Macaca mulatta: one gene and its partners. The protein of the gene in region 3 interacts with the protein of the main gene of each other region in a biochemical or structural test. Links are inferred from orthologs where the notes say so. Each region holds a gene or a part of one and is shown on either strand. Other genes may lie near its edges.

Region 1 (6,491 bases), on a different chromosome or scaffold from region 3:
GCCTCACAATCATGGCTGAAGGTGAATGAGGGGCAAAGTCATGTTGTACATGGTGGCAGACAAGAGAGCTTGTATAGGGAAACTCTCCTTTATAAAACCATCAGATCTTGTGAGACTTACTCACTATCAGGAGAACAGCATGGGAAAGACCGGCCCCCAAGACTCAATTACCTCCCAGTGACTCCCTCCCACAACGTGGGAATTATGGGAGCTACAATTCAAGATGAGATTTGGGTGAGGACAGAGGCAAACCATATCAATAGGGCTGTTATGAGGAGGATTAAATAAGTAAATACATAAAATGGGTTTAGCCCAGTGCCTGATACAAAGTAAACACTAAATATACATTATTAGAGGGACTGACTTCCTCATAAAGTATTAAAAAGATATCAAGGAAACAAAACACACACTTAGAGACTTTTAGGGGTAACAAGGAGAATCTGAGATATTTTAAAATATATCCTTACTTAATAATAGCTAACATGTATTGATCACTTATTATGTGCCAGGCATTGAATTATGCACATTATATACATAATCTCCTTTAATCTTAACTGTAACTGCAAAAAACCAACATGTATTACAGATAAATTAAGTAATTTGTCTAAACTCCCCTTTAGAAGGAATTGAGCCTGGATTTATAATACAAACTGGTCTGCAAATATGTATTGTTAATATCATTTTCTAAAATTATTCCATGTGCCATGACCATTGAAATGCGAAGTTGCTCATTGTGCCATGTGCCATGACATTTAAAATAAGAAGTTAATGTCTATGGCTGTACCACCCTGAACATTCCCCATCTCATCGGAAATAAGAAGTTATTTAAGTTTCAGCATTCTGGATTTCATGAACCAGTACAATGGAAGAACCAGTACAATGGAAGAAAGGGCAGGGGTGGTGGAACTTGAGGTAAGAGAGAAAAAAACAATCTCTCTTTAAATTGAATATAGTTTTAGGGGGAAAAAATCACCATATTGCTGTTGATTTTTTTCTTTTGCTAAGGATTGATACAAACTTCATCATATATCAAATGAACTAAATAACAGGTCTGGGAACTAGAATTTGGGTTTTCTGACTTCTTGGCAAAATCTTTTTTTTTTACTTTCTTTAAAAATTATTTTAATTGACAAATAAAAATTGCATATATTTACGGAGCACATGTTTTAAAATACAAATACATTGTATAATGACTAAATCACACTAATTAAGATATGCATTACCTGACATAATTGTTTTGGTAGTGAGATATCACTATTTTCAGTAATCTATATAAATCAAATAGTATAAGAGATACGTTTAAAAAAAATTACATCTAATTGTAGTTCTCGGCCAAGTTTGTTCTACATTTAATTACTCCATTTTCTGCATTCCCAAACACTCTGTTCATTTCTCACATAATATTAAGATGGAGATTGAAGTGGATTACTGCATTTCATTGTGATTTATCCGTTTACATGTCTCTGAGTAGAATATGAGCTTCTTGAAGAAAGGGACTTTGTCTATACATGTTTGATACACAGCTCCTGGTAAGCGGTATGACCTAACATTGTTAAATAAAGGAATGGGATTTATAGATATAATCTGGAACATGTATCAAAATTTACAATAATACCCAATTTGTGTATTATGTATATTCTATAATATTCATCCATATACATCCATATATTATATATAGAGTTCCATGAAGTTCACTACTGTATTCAGAATGATATTCAAATGCTATTCAAACAATTCTAAATGATATATTTTTAGCACCATAAAATGTTACACAAATCCATATTTAAATAGTATTATTGTATAATAACCTGTAAACTAGAGTTACTACACACACATACACACCACACAAATTCTATTTAAAAAGCTATTTACCACAAAGTAATTCTAAGACTTGATTAACACTGCCTAATGGAAAAGTCTGGAGATTGGAGCCAGGCAAAAAAAAATCTGCATTTTGGTTGTCTAGCACTACCTGAGTAATTTCCGTTGCTTCTTTCTGAACGTGAATTTTCTGTGATGTGGAGACATTTAATACCATCCTTAGTGAACTGGCTTAAGGACTGGAGGTAATAATGTATGTGAAGGGCTGATGAATGCTTGTAGTCAGACTGTAGTCTCTCTAGAGTTCCTTCCTCGGTTGCAAACTAAGTAAAGGCTTTTTTGTTTGTTTTACACATTATGAGTCTTTTATAGTCAGGAAAACTACACGGATCCCAACTTTGGCAATTCAGAGAGTCCGATTTACGTGGTAGAGACAAATATATATATATATATATATTTAATACATATATATATAAAAAACTCGGAAAACTCGCTAAACCCGCAGGGAGCGCTGGGCCGACCTCCAGTATCCCAGCATTCCTCGCGCTGCTCCCGTAGTTCCTTCTCCGAGTCTCTATGGTAGCGTCAGCCTCGGAGGCGGCAGTGACGGTGGCGTTTCCTTGAGGAAGAGTGAGGGTTCCAACTTTACTGCTGATCTGGGAGGTGTTGGGCGCGGAGGGTCGAGATGTCAGAGAAAAAGCAACCCGTAGACTTAGGTCTCTTAGAGGAAGACGACGAGTTTGAAGAGTTCCCGGCCGAAGGTAACCGCTGTGCCCCGGTTTCTGTGCCGCGCGAACGGTGACTCAGGCCTCCGTGTGGAGGTGGTTTGGTCGGTCGGGCCCAGCTGGGGGCACCGGCGGGAAGTTTGGACTCCCAGGGCCGGCACTCGAGGCGCTAACGCTCATCCCTCAGTGGCGCCCCAGCGTCGGGTTTGGGGTGTCGCTCTGGGACTCATTGGCGAGGCCCAATGGCCTCAGCTTCCGTACTGGGAGGAGCCACCGTGAGTCTGGACCCATAGCCCCGCGTCTGGGATGGTTGGTCCCTTTACTGTTCCTCTGGGTTACTCACCACTTAAACTTTAGTTCAAGTCTACATAACTTCCTTTTATTTTTCTTTTCTTTTCGTTTCGTTTCGTTTCGTTTCGTTTTAGCAGTCTTTCTTTGCCTTTAAACCTTTCCAGAATTGAATTGTCTGTAGTTACGCCAATGCTGCTTAACTTTTAGGATGTTACAAATGAAGCCTGATTAAGTAAGACAGAAGGGTAAGATATTGGGTGCTTAATACACATTATTGCCTTACTCCTGTTCCTCACCATTTTTGTCACTTAACTGTGACCTAACTTAATGCTTTATAAGACCCTACAACTTGACGGGTATGGTGGCTCAGGCCTGTAATCCCAGCAGTTTGGGAGGCCGAGGTAGGAGGATCACATGAGGTCAGGAGTTCAAGACCAGCCTGGGCAACATAGTGAGACCCTGTCCCTACAAAAATAAAATATATATTTTTAAAAATATATATATTTTTTCAATTAAAAATACACTTTTTTTTTTTTTTTTTTTTTTTAGTTTCAAAACTAAAGACCTTTAGTTTTTTTGTTGTAGGTAATAGCAAATTGCTAACATTTCTTGAGTGGCTGCTGTTTTCAGGAACTTGTCTAAGTGCTTTACTTGTAATAGCATATTCCACTTTCATAAATTCCACTAGGGCCTACTTCCTGTATGCCCTAGACCATTCTTTAGATAAACTGAAGCTCAGAGTGAAACGTTCCTGATGTCTCATAACTAGTTAGAAACAATAGAAGTGGAATTGGGACACCTGTTCTGATTGACACCAAAGTTCTTAACTTTAGCTGTACTGCTTCTGTTTGTGAGATTGCTGTTACCAGTTAGGTTTTCAAAATAGGCTGCTTTATTGACTAATGGTTGATGAGTAGGACTTGTAAATATTTACCTTATAAGAAAAGGAGATTACTTTCTGAAGGTGGTAGAAAGAGAATTGTGGTTAATGGGGTACACATCCTGTTGCATCAAGCAATTACTACTTCACTAAAATTGTCCCAAGTTGTATACCCTATCATGATCCTATTGTACGTAAAACCACATAGCTGGAACATTTGTTCTATTTATAATGTACTGTTACTTTGTTTAGTGGAAGAGAACATTAGTGTACATGCTACAGAAACTCGTAAACTAACCCAAAGCACATTTCTTTTCAGTTCTGGAATTCATTATGTATTGTAGGCATTCTTAGTTTTTTGTTTTGGTAATGGATTTATCTGTTCAGTCATGTTTTCTTTAGCTCACTTTCAAGTTGCGTCATAATCTGCCAACGTAGAGCTGTGTCATAGAAAGCTGGCCTATTGAAGGTAGGATCTTCTTACTCAAACTTCATACTTCAAATAACATTGTTCATTATCATATACAGGGTGGAATGTTAGGCACTTTATTTACATTATATAATCTAATTATCACTATCACCCTGAGAATATGGAGGCTCAGAGACAAAAAGAAAAACAAATAAACAAAACTTGCCATTATGTCCAAGCCAGAATCTGAAAGGTCTGTCTCTCTGATCCAAACTTTATCCGCAGCATTTAGCAGAGTGCCTAATACATAGTAGGTGGTCAATAAATGCTTGTTGAATGAATGATGAATGAACCCGCATTTAAAATGAGTAGTTAGTTGATAATTGACTGCTTAAAAACGATCTAGAGATAACTATGTACCTGATGGTACACTTGATTTTTTTCAGCAACTTTCATCAGCTTTTGCTAGTGTAGTTTGTGCTTGTTCTAAGTTTATGCTGTGAGCAGCAATTTTTCGAAGTGCCAGCAGTTACATAGTAAAACAAAACAAAAAGGTAAAAGGAAAAGCAAAGAAAATATTCTAAGGACAAAAGACTCACAACAGACTGGTTTATTAACATTAAGTTATTGACCATTTATGGGTCTCCTTACAGAATGTTTGTTGTCTTCAGATATAAATGTGTAGAATTAATTCATTCAGGAAACTTTCCATTTTAGAATGAGAAACATTTTTAATGTCTATTTTGTTCAAGTTTCTCTTCTCTGGTTTATGATTTGGAGAGGTTTTTCTTAAGTTAGTGAGAAAATCAGCCCACAAGGTGAAACCACTCAATATTTACTCATGAAAATTGTTCTGATGAATAACAAAACCTAAAGAAGAACAAACTTGGGAAAATATCACCAAATAATTATTTCTTTTCTGAGAATCTGCATTTCTGACATGTTTTGGTCTAGTCAAGGTTTAGAGTCTGTTGCTATTCAAAATGTGATCCATGAAACAGCAGACTTGGCATTGCCTGGGAGCCTGTTAAAACTGCAGCATCTCATCGTTCCTCAAACCTAGACCTACTTAATAAGTGTGGGCTTTACCAAGATTCCTAAGAGATATGTTTGCACATTAAAGTTTGAAAAGTATTACTTTGAACAGTGACCTATTTTCAATATTTTGGTATTTGAGTTTTCACTTCAATTATTAATGCCCTGATTTACTTTCAAGTTCTTTCTGTACTTTGGAAAATTATTTTTCTTGTAAGTATGCCGTTGACAAATTCACTAACAGATACAAATTAAAATTGCTGTTGTTAAGGCAGCCTGTGAACATCTCTGCAGTGTATATAACAGATCGTACTTTCAAAGGCTTTGTTGAGTATCAGTGCTCCGAGAGGTTGCCACATGAAAGTCATTACTCATGGTTCGACTAATAGATTTTCTTTTGGGAGTGGGTCTTCCTTTTGGAAGTGGTGTTGCTACATCCATCTTGTGTAAGAATTTGTTTGGTGGGATGTCCATTTAATCATTTTAAGGAAAGGGATATTTTATTGTTTCTTCTCTCTCTCTCTCTCTCTTTTTTTTTTTTTGGTTGTTCGAGATGGAGTTTCACTCTCGTTGCCCAGGCTAGAATGCAGTGGTGTGATCTTGGCTCCCTGCAACCTCCCCTCCCCGGTTCAAGTGATTCTCCTGCCTCAGCCTCCCAAGTAGCTGGGATTACAGGCATGTGCCACCACGCCCGGCTAATTTTGTATTTTTAGTAGAGATGGGGTGTCTCCATGTTGGTCAGGCCGGTCTCGAACTCCCGACCTTAGGTGATCTGCCCGCCTCTGCCTCCCAAAGTGCTGGGATTACAGGCATGAGCCACCATGTCCAGCATAGTTTCTTCTCAATAGCCCTTCAGTGTAAAGTGCAACACCTGGAAGGAGTCTCTGAAGGTACAAATGCTGCTTTTATTTTTTTCCCCCATTCTGTAGCCTGTGAATTGGTGCTACATTGGCAGTTCCTCACAATTTTTCTAATTGGTGGGTGTGTAATCTACTGGTAATTAAGCAGGAGCTGTTAAAAAAAATCATGTTTAAGATCTTTGTAATATACAGCCTCCAACTTCTTGACTACTTAAACTGATTTAGAACCGCCTTTATTAGGAAGACATTCAAGGTCCTGGGTGTGATTGATTTTGATATGATTTTGGGAGCTTTGAAATGGTTGGAATTTTAGGACCAGAGGGCGACTTAATTCATTTTTCAAAGCATGTGGTTAGGTTGGTGGTAATAGAGTCAAAAACTGAAGTAGTCTATAATTTATTTAAAACTTTGACTACTTTTTTGTATCAAATTATTGAAAGAATTTTTTAAAATATTTTTATTAGTTTCTC
Region 2 (6,585 bases), on a different chromosome or scaffold from region 3:
AATAACGGAAATCTTGTTTTTTAAACTTCTTTTTCTTTTTTTTTTTTGAGATGGAGTCTCGCTCTGTTGCCCAGGTTGGAGAGTGCAATGGCACGATCTTGCCTCACTGCAACCTCCGCCTCCTGGGTTCAAGCAATTCTTCTGCCTCAGCCTGCCCGGTATCTGGGATTACAGGCACCTACCACCATGCTCAGCTAATTTTTGTATTTTTAGTAGAGACAGGGTTTCACCATGTTCACCAGGCTAGTCTTGAACTCCTGACCTCAAGTGATCTGTCCGCCTTGGCCTCCCAAACTGCTGGGATTACAGGCGTGAGCCACCATGCCTGGTCTTTTTAAACTTTTTACTTGAACTAATGTTTGACTTGCAGAACACTTGCAAAAACAGAACAGAGAGTTCATGTGTACACTTCTTTCAGCTTTCTTTCTTTTCTTAAGAGGCAGGGTCTCACTATGTTGCCCAGGCTGGTCTTTTCTCAAACTCCTGGCCTCAAGCAATCCTCCTGCCTTGGCCTCCAAATAAATATAAACAAATATTTATTGAGTGCAGTCTGTAAGACTAGTACTGTTCTGGCTGGGCGCAGTGGCTCACGCCTGTAATCTCAGCACTTTAGGAGGCCGAGGTGGGTGGATCATGAGGTCAGGAGTTTGAGACCAGCCTGGCCAATATGGTGAAACCCCGTCTCTACCAAAAATACAAAAAAATTAGCCGGGCATGGAGGTTCATGCCTGTAGTCCCAGCTGCTTGGGAGGCTGAGGCAGAAGAATCACTTTAACCCAGGAGGCAGAGGTTGCAGTGAGTCAAGATCATGCCACTGCACTCCAGTTGGGTGACAGAGTGAGACTCCGTCTCAAAAAACAAAACAAAACAAAGCAAAAAAGACTAGTACTGTTCTAAACACATGGGTGCAGCAGAGAATAAAGCAAAGATCTTGCCCTCATGTAGCTTATATTCTGAGAGTAGTAGAAAAACAATAAACAAGTAAGTGTATGTTAGGGAATGGAAAGTGTGATGAAAATCTATAAAACAGGGTAAGGGAGATAGAAGATGAGACAAGAGAGTAACACACTGTCAGATAAGGCCCTTTGACTACTTGATATGTGAGTAATGATCTGAAGTGAACAAGCAAACCAGACGCAAATCTGCAAGAGGAATGTCCCGGCTACCTTTAGCCAATCTGTTTTAGATTTTCTGAACTTCCCAGATGATATTAAGGTAGGCTGCAGACACTACGAGAGCTAGCTTGTTTTCTGGTTACCCTTACTCTTTACGTGTCCCAGTCCAAAGACGAGGGGGATGCAGTTTACCAAGGTGCCCAACCTTGGTAGGTCCCCATTTCAAATTCTTGTAACCCTGGCTCCGGGAGCTGCCAAAAGCACAACTCAACCTATGAGGTGCTCTTTATGACTGGAAAAAGCCCCAGGATAAAAGCTCCTTAAGGAGCACATTCTTCTTTTTTTTTGAAACAGGGTCTCTCTCTGCCACCCAGGCTGGAGTGCAGTGGCGCCATCTCAGTTCACTGCAGCCTCCACCTCCCAGGTTCAAGCGATTCTCCCGCTTTAGTCTGCTGAGTAGCTGGGACTACAGGCGCGCCCCACCAAAACCAGCTATATTTTTAGTAGAGACCGGGTTTCACCATGTTGGCCTGGCTAGTCTCGAACTCCTGACCTCAAGTGATCCGCCCCCCTCGGCCTCCCAAAATTCTGGGATTACAGGCTTGAGCCACCGCTCCCAGCCTCAAATTACTCTTTTAAATAGCTGTACCTATTTACACTCCTACCAGCAGCCCAAGAGTTCTCACTGTTTCACATCTTCATTTCACCCTTGATATTTTTTAGCTTTTACTTTTGTCAAACTGTTGGATAAAACTCAGTAAACAACCTTTAGCCATTCTCTATCCTTTCAGATTAGCCTTTCTAATACCATTTTTCAGGGATAGCTGACTGTGTCATCGCCTAGCACTTAGAAGGTGCTAAGCAAATACTCATTGAATGATGTAACTTTCCTATTTAATATCCTTTAATGCTTTTCCAAGTCCGGGGGCGGCTTCCCTTTTCTGAGAGCCTAATAATCACGTATTCATTTCTATATTCCCAGAACCTAACAAAGTTTGAAAATTATCCTGCAGGCAACACTAGGTCAATGTTTTTTCGGATTAATTAATAACCAATAGGATATCGTATACCTCTGCGATGCACGCATTTCTATTATCGCACACACCGAATCATACCTTATTTATTACTTATCCACGCAGATGGTGAGATCTGTAGCCTCGGCATCTACACTGTGTCTGAAAGTAGGCACGAAACCGGTATTTTTTTAATTGAACCGTAAACTTGAATCAAACTTGGAAGCCTTTAAAGGGAAACGCAAAGGTACATGCGCAGTGATGCAATAGGGTCGTCCAATCAGAGTAGGGCAGGACTGGACAGTGCAGCGGCTAGGTAGTGCGCACGCGCACCGGGCTCGTCCGCGATTGGCTTCGCCGAGGCGGGAGCCTTGAGCTTCTCCGGTGGCGAGGGGACCGCTGGTTACCAGAAGTGCTTCTTTGCAGGGCCAGTGGTTTCTGTCAGATTTTCGCCGGTGCGTCCTGGAGGGGGAAGCTCGGGAGGCCGCGACAGCCTGTAGGCTCGTGCGGGACAAAGCAGGGAGTGGCGCCGGAGCAGGCCTCCGAGGGAGGAGGGAGGGAAGGAGGCAGGAGCGACCGAAGTGGCCTCCTGCGGGCCTGCAACTTTGGTCTGAAGTGCGAGGGACGCCCTGGCTGCTGGCCCCGGGGGGCTAGGAGCGAAGGGCGGGTGGTGGGGGTGTAGAGGTGTGCGTTTGTGTGCGAGGGATGGTTCTGGGCTGTGGCCCCTGGGGCCGCCCCTGCTGTCGCTTTGCTCAGGCTTCTGTGGCGTTTGGGTCTCTCCCTCACTCCTGCACTGGGAAGCCCCTTCCCCAGCAACAGGGGGTGAAGGCTCCGCGAACGCCCTGGAGAGTGTCGGTACGCCTTCTTTAGGGACTTTTACCTCCTCGCTGGTCAGGTTTTTCTTGTATTTCCTTAAAATCTTTTAATCGATTACCTTATGAAAGATTTTCTAGGTAGGTACAGATGCTTCTCGACTTACTACGGAGTTGAAAATATCCTAAGTCGAAAATGGATTTAAAACAGCTAACCTACTGAGTATTAAAGCTTGGCCTAGCCTAGTTTTGTTATCAAAAAAATTAATTTTCAGCGGTTTATTTTAGATTTGGGAGTACATGTGCAGGTTTGTTGCATCGGTATATTACGTGGTGCTGAGGTTTGGATACGATTGATCCTGTCACCCAGGTAGTGAGCATAGTACCCAATAGTTTTTGAACCCTTGCTCCTCCTTTCCTCCCCCTTCTAGTTGTCCCCACTGTCTATTATTGCCATCTTTATGTTCATGAATGCCCAGTGTTTAGCTCCCATTTATAAGTGAGAACATGCAATATTTGATTTTCTGTTTCTGCTTTAATTCGCTTTGGGTAATAGCCTCCAGCTGCACCCATGTTGCTGTAAAGGACATGATTTCATGCCTACCTTAAACATACTCAGAACACTTACCTTAATCTACAGTTGGGCAAAATCATGACCACAGACAGTTATGTGGTTACTTGCACAGTTTCTACTAAATGCTTATGGCTTTCTTAAAAGTTGAAGAATTCTAAGTGAAACCGTCCTAAATTAGGAACCATCTGTATAGCCGGAGTCTCAAAGGAGCAACTTAAGGCATGAAGTGAGATAATTACTACTTAATGTAGTTGGAAGTCGAAAAGCAGAAACAGCAGGGAAAGACTGTTGCTGGTTCTTGGTAGAGTTGGTTTACTTACATTCTTGCATCCCAGACGTTTGATGGTTGCACATACCTCTCTTTAAAGCCCAGACGAACCCAAAGATTCTGGTCATTGTCCTGTATGTTGAACTACCCCTTTTCTATCTCCCCCACAGGACCTTCGTCATTTCTATTCTCCAATAATACTAATTATAGATAGTAATATTACAGATAACATTGAGTGCTTATGTGTCAAGTTTTGTTTTAAGTGCTTTACATATTTCATTTAATCCTCCCAACAGTCCGGTGTGTAAGTATGATTATGGTACCCCCTCTTAAAGATGAGGAAACTGAGACACATGGAGCCTAAGTAAACTGTGCAAGACCATTGGGAAGTGTCAGTATTTATATTCAGGCATTTGCTTTCAAAGTTGTGTTCTTATTTACCACAGTGTAGTGCCAAGTACTTGTGGCTATCTGGTGTATTGCAGTTGTCAGCCTGGCCTTACCATTTTACTTGGAAGGACTGAAGCTAATAGGTGTTACAGAAGTTGTAGCATCACATCAGGGCTACCAAATGGCTTTATTTCTAGGACCTGGGAAAAGGGCTCAGACAGCATTAATTAATTAATTAATTTATTATGGACAGGACAACATGAACATACAGAACTAGTTTAAAAAGCTATAAGGGTGCGGTACTCTTTTGGGGGGAAATGTACTGATTTCTGCATTTTACTTTGAAATGCATCAACAAATTAAATGTCTTGATGGGTGCCTAAGGTCATATGTAAATAGCACAGTTTGGATTCTAGCCAGGCAGCCTGGCTGGCTCCAGAGTCAGTTTGTTTTCTTAATCACTGCTCTGTGATGATGCTTGTATGCTTGCATTATCATTTTTATTAGTTTACAAAATAGGAAGGTGGAAAAATCAGAAATCATGTATTAGATGTAGAAGGGTTTAGGGTAGTAATTCTTCACATTTAGTGTTGAAAGAAATTTTAGCATCTAGTTCATTCTTTATTTTATAAATGAGAAAATTGGTGTCTAGAGAGTTAAATAGCTTCCCCAAAGTTAAGCATCCCTGAAATAGCAGAATCTGAACTACACTCTGGTTTCCTTCATTTCTACTGTTGATGTTTCTAACTACTGTATTTTTTTAAGTGTTCCTTTTGAAAAAGTGTCAGAATTTTCACAGTATTAAAGGGGAGTCTGATTAATGTAGAGAACAGAATGATGTGGACATCATATTTTTATTAATGCTATCTAGAATTTATTAGTTTAAGAAGGCTCATTATCTTATTTCAGTTGAACTATAGTCACTAAAATCTTTAGTTTTAAATTTCAGCTTCTATTGTTCTATTTCATTTGACCATTAAGTAACTGAGTCTAAATGCAAGGCCTAACATCCATGTCCTCTTGTGACAGTTGCCATTAATCAATTTCAAACTTGTGTCAATTATATATTTAGAGACCTGTAGTATTCTGCTTACCCATTATAAAAAGGAAATTAGTTTAATGAAGTTATTTTGGCATGACTTGTTTGGCCAGAATTTGTATTTACTTCTGGCATTGGCAAATACTGCTTCTAAAGCAGTCAAAAACCATCTGTTTCATAATTTGCTCTAAGATTAAAGATTATACTAATAGAGATCTATTTTGTTGTTGAATAAGAAATTGAAGAGAGTGACCTCTACTACTCATTCCTCAAACTATGTAAAGGCTGGTTATATATAAAATATTTACATGTTTCATCATTTTAACATTGATGAAATCAGGAAATGTCTAACCATCAATGATAGTGTATCATAGTTCAATTGGCTACACTTTTTTTCTTGGATACATAAAATAATGGTACATCTTACAACTAAAAAAATTTTTATTTTTAAAATATTTACTTTTAAACATTTCTTTTATATGGACTAACAACCAAGAGTATGTCTTACAATTGATGGCATTTTAGATTTGATGAAATATGGTAATTTAAAAAATCTAATTCATGATACTTTTCCCTATTACAAAGGTAATATTTTCATTGTAAAAAATTTGAAATATACAGAAAATAACTCAGAATAGAATAAAAATTACTGGTTATTCTAACCAGACCTAGAAATAATTACGGTTAATATTGTGGCATGTGTTTTTCTAGTTTTTAAAAAACAATTGTATATTTTAATATATGACATATATACTTTATAGCAGTATAATTTACAGTGTGCAGTTAGATGTGTACATTTTGATGTTTTGATATACAGATGTATATATACTCCTGTAACCACACTACAATCTTATATAGATTATTTCTGTCACTTCAAACAAGTTCTCTCATGCTCGTTTGCTTTCTAGTCTTTTAAATGTACATATACGCGTTATCCTTTTTCTTTTTCTTTTCTTTTTAAAAATTAGAATGAGACTGGACATGTTTTGTCGCCATTTTTCCTTTGACTTATCAAAAAATATTTCTCATGTCATTAAACATTTTTTTAAAGTGTTGTTCCCTGCCCCCTCCCCGCCCCAATTAATGGTATCGTTCACATAACAAATACTGAACTCCTTCTGCGTATTTGGTACTGGCAATATAGTGATGAATTGTATGTAAGATTTCATGCCTGAGTTAATAGCTCAGGGGGAATGATAGGGCAAATTTCATTGCAGTATGAAAAGTGCTTGGGTAGTGCATATGCAGAAAGGTCCTCCAGTCCAGTCTTTGGGAGGAGATGAAGAGGGCTCATGGTTAAGACTTCTAGAGGATAAGGTAGAATTAATCAGGCAAAGAAAAGTCGGAAAAAGCATTCCCAACATTATATAAGAG
Region 3 (6,406 bases):
AAAAATGGAAGGGAGATTTATTGGAATGTAGGGATATCTCATAACTCGAGCACTAATCCTTAAGAGTTCAATTTCTTTTTTTTTTTTTTTTAAAGTCAAAAGAACCCAAGAGCAGGAGGAGTAAGTACTGCTAGGCTTCTGAGAAACTGGAAAGGCAATCTGGAAAGGAGTCAGAATTCAAATGGTCCATTTATCTTTGACTCTCTCCTTAGTATCTCAATTTCTTTCTTTCTTTCTTTTTTTTTTTTTTTTTTTGACAGAGTCTTGCTCTGTCGTCCAGGCTGGAGTCTAGTGGCATGATCTCAGCTCACTGCAACCTCTGCCTCCCGGGTTCAAGCGATTCTCCTGCCTTGGCCTCCTGAGTAGCTGGGATTACCGGCATGTGCCACCACACCCAGCTAATTTTTGTATTTTTAGTAGAGATGGGGTTTCACCATGTTGGCCAGGCTGGTCTCGAACTCCTCCTGACCTCAGGTGATCCACCTGCCTTGGTCTCCCAGAGAGCTGGGGTTACAGGCTTGAGCCATCGCGCCTGACATCAATTTCTTAATCTTTCTGCAGATGTGCTTTCTCTGATTTGACACATCTATCTGTGTACCTTGCTCCATAAATTCCTGAGGTCAGACTTGAATATAAAACCCAAGTATAATTTTCCAGGAGCAGGAAAATGATTGGCTGATTTGGGGTCAGATGAACACTGCTGGTACAACCAGTGGTCAGAAAGGTAAAAGTCATGTGACTACAGTCAGCTAGGAGGAGGGCTGCAGGTTTGCAGATGCTCTAAAGGTGTGGGAAGAACTGGAGGCAAAGGTGTGTAACTTTGATATGGAAGAAAGTTCACTATTATCACAGGTACTATCTATAATCACTAAGTTAGGTTGTTTCTACATCCAGAAAGCTGCCTGAGTCTGTTCTCTCTGTTATTCCTCTAATTCAGAGGACCCCAATGCCCCATTGTAGACCTGTGGCCTGTTAGGAACTGGGCTGAAGAGCAGGAGGTGAGCAGCTGGCAAGCAAGCATTACTGCCTGAGCTCTGCCTCCTATCAGATCAGGGAGAGCATTAGATTCTCACAGGAACTCAAACCCTATTCTTTTGTTTGTTTGTTTGTTTGTTTTTTTGAGACGGAGTCTCGCTCTGTCGCCCAGGCTGGAGTGCAGTGGCCGGATCTCAGCTCACTGCAAGCTCCGCCTTGCGGGTTTACGCCATTCTCCTGCCTCAGCCTCCCGAGTAGCTGGGACTACAGGCGCCCGCCACCTCACCTGGCTATTTTTTTTTTTTTTTTTTTTTTTTTTTGAGACGGAGTCTCGCTCTGCCGCCCAGGCTGGAGTGCAGTGGCGCGATCTCAGCTCACTGCAAGCTCCGCCTCCTGGGTTCACACCATTGTCCTGCCTCAGCCTCCCGAGTAGCTGGGACTACAGGCACCCGCCACCTCGCCCGGCTAGTTTTTTTGTATTTTTTAGTAGATACGGGGTTTCACCGTGTTAGCCAGGATGGTCTCGATCTCCTGACCTCATGATCCGCCCGTCTCGGCCTCTCAAAGTGCTGGGATTACAGGCTTGAGCCACCGCGCCCGGCCTATTTTGTATTTTTTAGTAGAGACGGGGGTTTCACGGGGTTAGCCAGGATGGTCTCCATCTCCTGACCCTGTGATCCGCCCGTCTCGGCCTCCCAAAGTGCTGGGATTACAGGCTTGAGCCACCGCACCTGGCCACAAACCCTATTTTGAACTGCACCTGTGAGGAATCTAGATTGCACACTCCTTATGGGAATCTAACTGATGATCTTGAGGTATAACAGTTTCATTCCAAAACCATTCTCTGCCTCAGGCCCACCCCCCAAGCCCTGTAGAAAACTGTCTTTGATAAAACAGGTCCCTGGTGCCAAAAAGGTAGAATTGGAATCTAATTTAAATCTTCATCTCTTGCCTGAAATATTGCAACAACTTCCTTTTTGCTGTCTTCACTTTCACTCTCCTGAAATCTATTCTTCAATGCCACAGGGTAATAGTGTGAGGATTAAATAAAAACTTTGTCAACTTTAAAGCACTCCACATATATAAAGTAGTAATAAGGCCGTTGCAACGGCTCACACCTGTAATTCCAACACTTTGGGAGGTCAAGGTGGGAGGATCACTTGAGGCCAGGAGTTCAAGGCCAACTTGAACAGAGCGAGACGCTATCTCAAAAATAAAAAAAAAGCCAGGCATGATGGTTCACACCTGTAATTCCAGCACTTTGGGAGGCCAAGGCAGGTGGATCACCTGAGGTCAGGAGTTTGAGACCAGCCTGGCCAACATGGTGAAACCCTGTCTCTACTAAAAATACAAAAAATTAGCTGGGTGTGGTGGCGAGTGCCTAAAATCCCAGTTACTTGGGAGGCTGAGGCATGGAGACTCGCTTGCATCTGGGAGGTAGGGGTTGCAGTGAGCTGAGATCGCATCCCTGCACTCCAGCCTGGGTAACAGAGTGAGACTCCATCTAAAAATAATAATAATAATAATAATAATAACAAATTAGTAATAGTGGAGGGGAAATAGATCTAACCAAATAACTTGTCTTCTTAAAAACTTTCAGTGGGCCGGGCGCGGTGGCTCAAGCCTGTAATCCCAGCACTTTGGGAGGCCGAGACGGGCGGATCACGAGGTCAGGAGATCGAGACCATCCTGGCTAACACGGTGAAACCCCGTCTCTACTAAAAAATACAAAAAACTAGCCGGGCGAGGTGGCTGGCGCCTGTAGTCCCAGCTACTCGGGAGGCTGAGGCAGAATAGCGTAAACCCGGGAGGCGGAGCTTGCAGTGAGCTGAGATCCGGCCACTGCACTCCAGTCTGGGCGACAGACCGAGACTCCGTCTCAAAAAAAAAAAAAAAACAAAAAACAAAACTTTCAGTGATTTATTCAGTACCTAGAGAACAAAGCTCCTTATATATGTATTTTTTGAGACTGAGTCTTGCTCTGTTGCCCAGGCTGGAGTGCAGTGGGGTGATCTCGGCTCACTGCAACCTCCACCTCCCAGGTTCAAGCAATTCTGTGCCTCAGCCTCCCAAGTAGCTGGGATTACTTGCATGCGTCACCACGCCCAGCTACTTTTTGTAGTTTTAGTAGAGATGGGGTTTTGCCATCTTGGCCAGGCTGGTCTTGAACTGACCACGTGATCCACCCACCTTGGCTTCCCAAAGTGCTGGGATTACAGGCTTGAGCCACCGCGCCTGGCCTCTTCTTACATGTTTTGTTGTTGTTGCTTGCTTTTTGGGACAAGATCTCACTCTGTAGCCCAGGTTGGAGTGCAGTGTCCCATCATAGCTCACTGCAGCCTTGACGTCCTGAGCTCAAGCAATCCTCCCACCTCAGCTTCCGGGATAGCTGAGACCACAGGCACAAGCCACCATGCCCAGCTTATTCTTTTTGGAGATATGGGGTCCCACTATGTTGCCCAGGCTGGCCTCCAACTCCTGAGCTCAAGCGATCCTCTCCTGCCTTGGCTTCCCAAAGTGCTGGGATCACAGGCGTGAGCCACTGTGCAGGCCTTATATGATCTTAAGCCTCTTCATATCCTGAACTAAATGTAACTTTCCAGTTTCGGCACTTGTTCTGGCACTTTTCCTCCCTCGCTAGATAATACTAATCTTTAATCATGTAGTTTGTTTCCATGCCCATACTACCCTATCTGCTTATAGTGTCTTCCACTTCGCCCAAGAAATCCTACTCAGCTAGCTTGTGTTGTTTTGAGACACTCTCGTTCTGTCGCCCACGCTGGAGTACAGTGGCGAGATCTCGGTTCGTTGCAACCTCTTCCTCCCGGGTTCAAGCGATTCTCGGCCCTACTCAGCCTTTAAAACCGGAATCACGGGTCAAAACTTTCTGGTAAACCACGAGACGGTTTAGGTTATGAAATTCAATGCCCCCTTCCTCTGAAGTCCTGCAAATCTCCAGTAAAGCACCACAGATTGACGAATATTCCAGCCGTTTCCCTCTCCCCTCCGATAGCTCCATTTCCCACTTCTATCCATCTTCTCGAGCTTCCTCAGCTCCTCCACCTCCATGAGGCCTGGAAAGCACCTGGTTCCAGGAATGTGAGTCGGAGGCTCAGAGCTACCAGCGCCAAAAGCTGACGTTCAGATACTGCTGAAACAAACCACAAGAGTGCTAAGGCTCTAGGTAATAGTCCGGCTCCAGGTAATAGTCCAGCTGGGATGACGGTAGGAACTCGCAGGCCCGCCGGCGGTGCATGCCGGGAGATGCAGTCCCGGGCCGACGCATTACCTCTTGGGAGTTGTAGTCTTCGATCTGGTAAACAGACCACAGCAACTCTGATGTCTTCCCCCACCGTCCCCCGAAAACCCTCGCCCCACCCGCGAGGGACTAGGGTAAGAGTAGGGGCGTTGCCGTGGTTGGCCTAGAACTCCTAGGCTCAGACGATCCTCTCGCCTCGGCCTCCCGAGTTAGCTGGGACTACGCGCGTGAGCCACCGCGCCCGGCATAAAGTCTGAATTAGTCCTTACGCAAAAAGGGAAGAGGGCAGTCCGTAACCTCGCGCAGGATCAAGCTCTCGAGTTCCAGTCTTGGGCTAGCGCGGAGGGCGGAAGGGGCAAGAAGGCGGATCCGGAAGGCGGAGATACGTTACGCCGACGCGGGCGTGACCCTGGGCGAGAGGGTTTGGCGCGAATTCTGAAAGCCGCCGGCGGAGCGCGCCCAGCGACCAGAGACCGACCCTTAAGGAGAGCGCGGCGCTTCCCGAGGCGTGCAGCTGGGAGCTGAAACTCGTCTGGGTTGTGCGCAGAAGGCTAGGGCAAGCGAGTAGACTTGAAGTGGGGCGTAAGCCAGGGGCGTTGGGGTCCGCGCGGGTCAGGCGCGTGTCACCCCCGCAGGGTGAAGTCGGAGCGCGCGGCCCGTTGGAAAGAGCAGCGCTGAGGGCCAAGGTGAGTGTGTGAGGCGCAGGCCGGGCCCTCTATAGCTGCGGCTCGTCGTCGCCCACCTGGGTCCTGGCCGGTCCAATGCTCAGGGGCAGGTGGGGTCTCCGCGCACAGTGTGAAACCCGGACGTGGCAGGGCGTGTCCGCGTCCGACCGACCCTCAGTTGCTGGGGCGAAAACACAGGTGGACCCCAGTCTTTAGAACTAGGGGAGAAACATTAGAGCCTTCATAGCCAACACCCGTTTTATGAGTTTGAGCGAGGAGTCTGAGATCAGAGCGGTGTAGCCACAGCTGTTTAATATCACAGCCAGGGCTTCCGGATTCTTGGTCTGTCTTTCCGTTACACCGTGCTTAGAAAGTACCAACCTGCAATTGCCAAAACAGTATTTTCGTCATCTAATGCGGAAAACCATTCGCATGATGCCTAGAGAATGATCTGAAGTGAGGCTTGGTTTTCTTAAAACTTTTTTTTTTTTTTTTTTTTGAGATGAAGTCTCGCTCTTTAGCCCAGGCTGGAGTGTAGTGGCGCGATCTCGGCTCACTGCAACCTCCGCCTCCCGGGTTCAAGCGATTCTCCTACCTCAGCCTCCCAAGGAGCTGGGATTACAGGCTCCCGCCACCACGACTGGCTGATTTTTGTATTTTTTTTTTTTTTTTTTTTTTTGAGACGGAATCTTGCTCTGTTGCCCAGGCTGGAGTGCAGTGGCCGGATCTCAGCTCACTGCAAGTTCCGCCTCCCGGATTCAGGCCATTCTCCTGCCTCAGCCTCCCGAGTAGCTGGGACTACAGGCGCCCGCCACCTCATCCGGCTAGTTTTTTTTTTTGTATTTTTTAGTAGAGACGGGGTTTCACCGTGTTAGCCAGGATGGTCTCGATCTCCTGACCTCGTGATCCGCCCGTCTCGGCCTCCCAAAGTGCTGGGATTATAGGCTTGAGCCACCGCGCCCGGCCGATTTTTGTATTTTTAGTAGAGACAGGGTTTCACTATGCTGGTCAGGCTGGTGTCGAACTCCTGACCTCAGGTTATCCACCCGCCTCCACCTCCCAAAGTGCTGGGATTACAGGCGTGAGCCACCGCGCCTGGCCCCTGTTTTTTTTTTTTTTTTTTTTTAAACTTCTAAAGTGATATGTAATATACATAAGTGATATGTAATATACATATGTGTAGAAAAATGCACATTCACAACTGTATACAACTCCGTGAATTATTACAAAATATACTGGCCGGGTGTAGTGTCTCAAGTCTGTAGTCCCAGCACTTTAGGAGGTGGAGGCGGGAGGACAATTGAGCCCAAGAGTTCGAGAACAGCCTGGTCAAGATAGTGAGACCAGTATCTCTACAGATAGAAAAAATTAGCCAGGCTTGGTGGTGTGCACCTGTAGGCCCAGCTATTCAGGAGGCTGAGAAGGGAGGATCTAGCCTGGGAAGTATAAGCTGCAGTGAGCCGTGATCAGGCCACTGCACTCCAACCTGGGCGATAGAGCAAGACAA

Evidence for each region. The genes of interacting proteins can lie anywhere in the genome.
Region 1: the proteins of RAD51 (region 3) and SEM1 form a complex in vitro, tested with the Homo sapiens proteins (2 studies listed by BioGRID). The link is inferred for Macaca mulatta from reciprocal best matches to the Homo sapiens genes RAD51 and SEM1.
Region 2: the proteins of RAD51 (region 3) and RAD54B form a complex in vitro, tested with the Homo sapiens proteins (2 studies listed by BioGRID). The link is inferred for Macaca mulatta from reciprocal best matches to the Homo sapiens genes RAD51 and RAD54B.

Annotation. Positions count from the first base shown.
Region 1 is NC_133408.1:122,657,005-122,663,495, forward strand, and holds the start of SEM1 (26S proteasome complex subunit SEM1), read left to right. Parts: upstream 1-2,374; 5' UTR 2,375-2,506; coding exon 2,507-2,582; intron 2,583-6,491. UniProt on the Homo sapiens protein: Component of the 26S proteasome, a multiprotein complex involved in the ATP-dependent degradation of ubiquitinated proteins.
Region 2 is NC_133413.1:104,864,782-104,871,366, reverse strand, and holds the start of RAD54B (DNA repair and recombination protein RAD54B), read left to right. Parts: upstream 1-2,468; 5' UTR 2,469-2,583; intron 2,584-6,585. UniProt on the Homo sapiens protein: Involved in DNA repair and mitotic recombination. May play an active role in recombination processes in concert with other members of the RAD52 epistasis group.
Region 3 is NC_133412.1:18,028,063-18,034,468, forward strand, and holds the start of RAD51 (DNA repair protein RAD51 homolog 1), read left to right. Parts: upstream 1-2,881; 5' UTR 2,882-4,920; intron 4,921-6,406.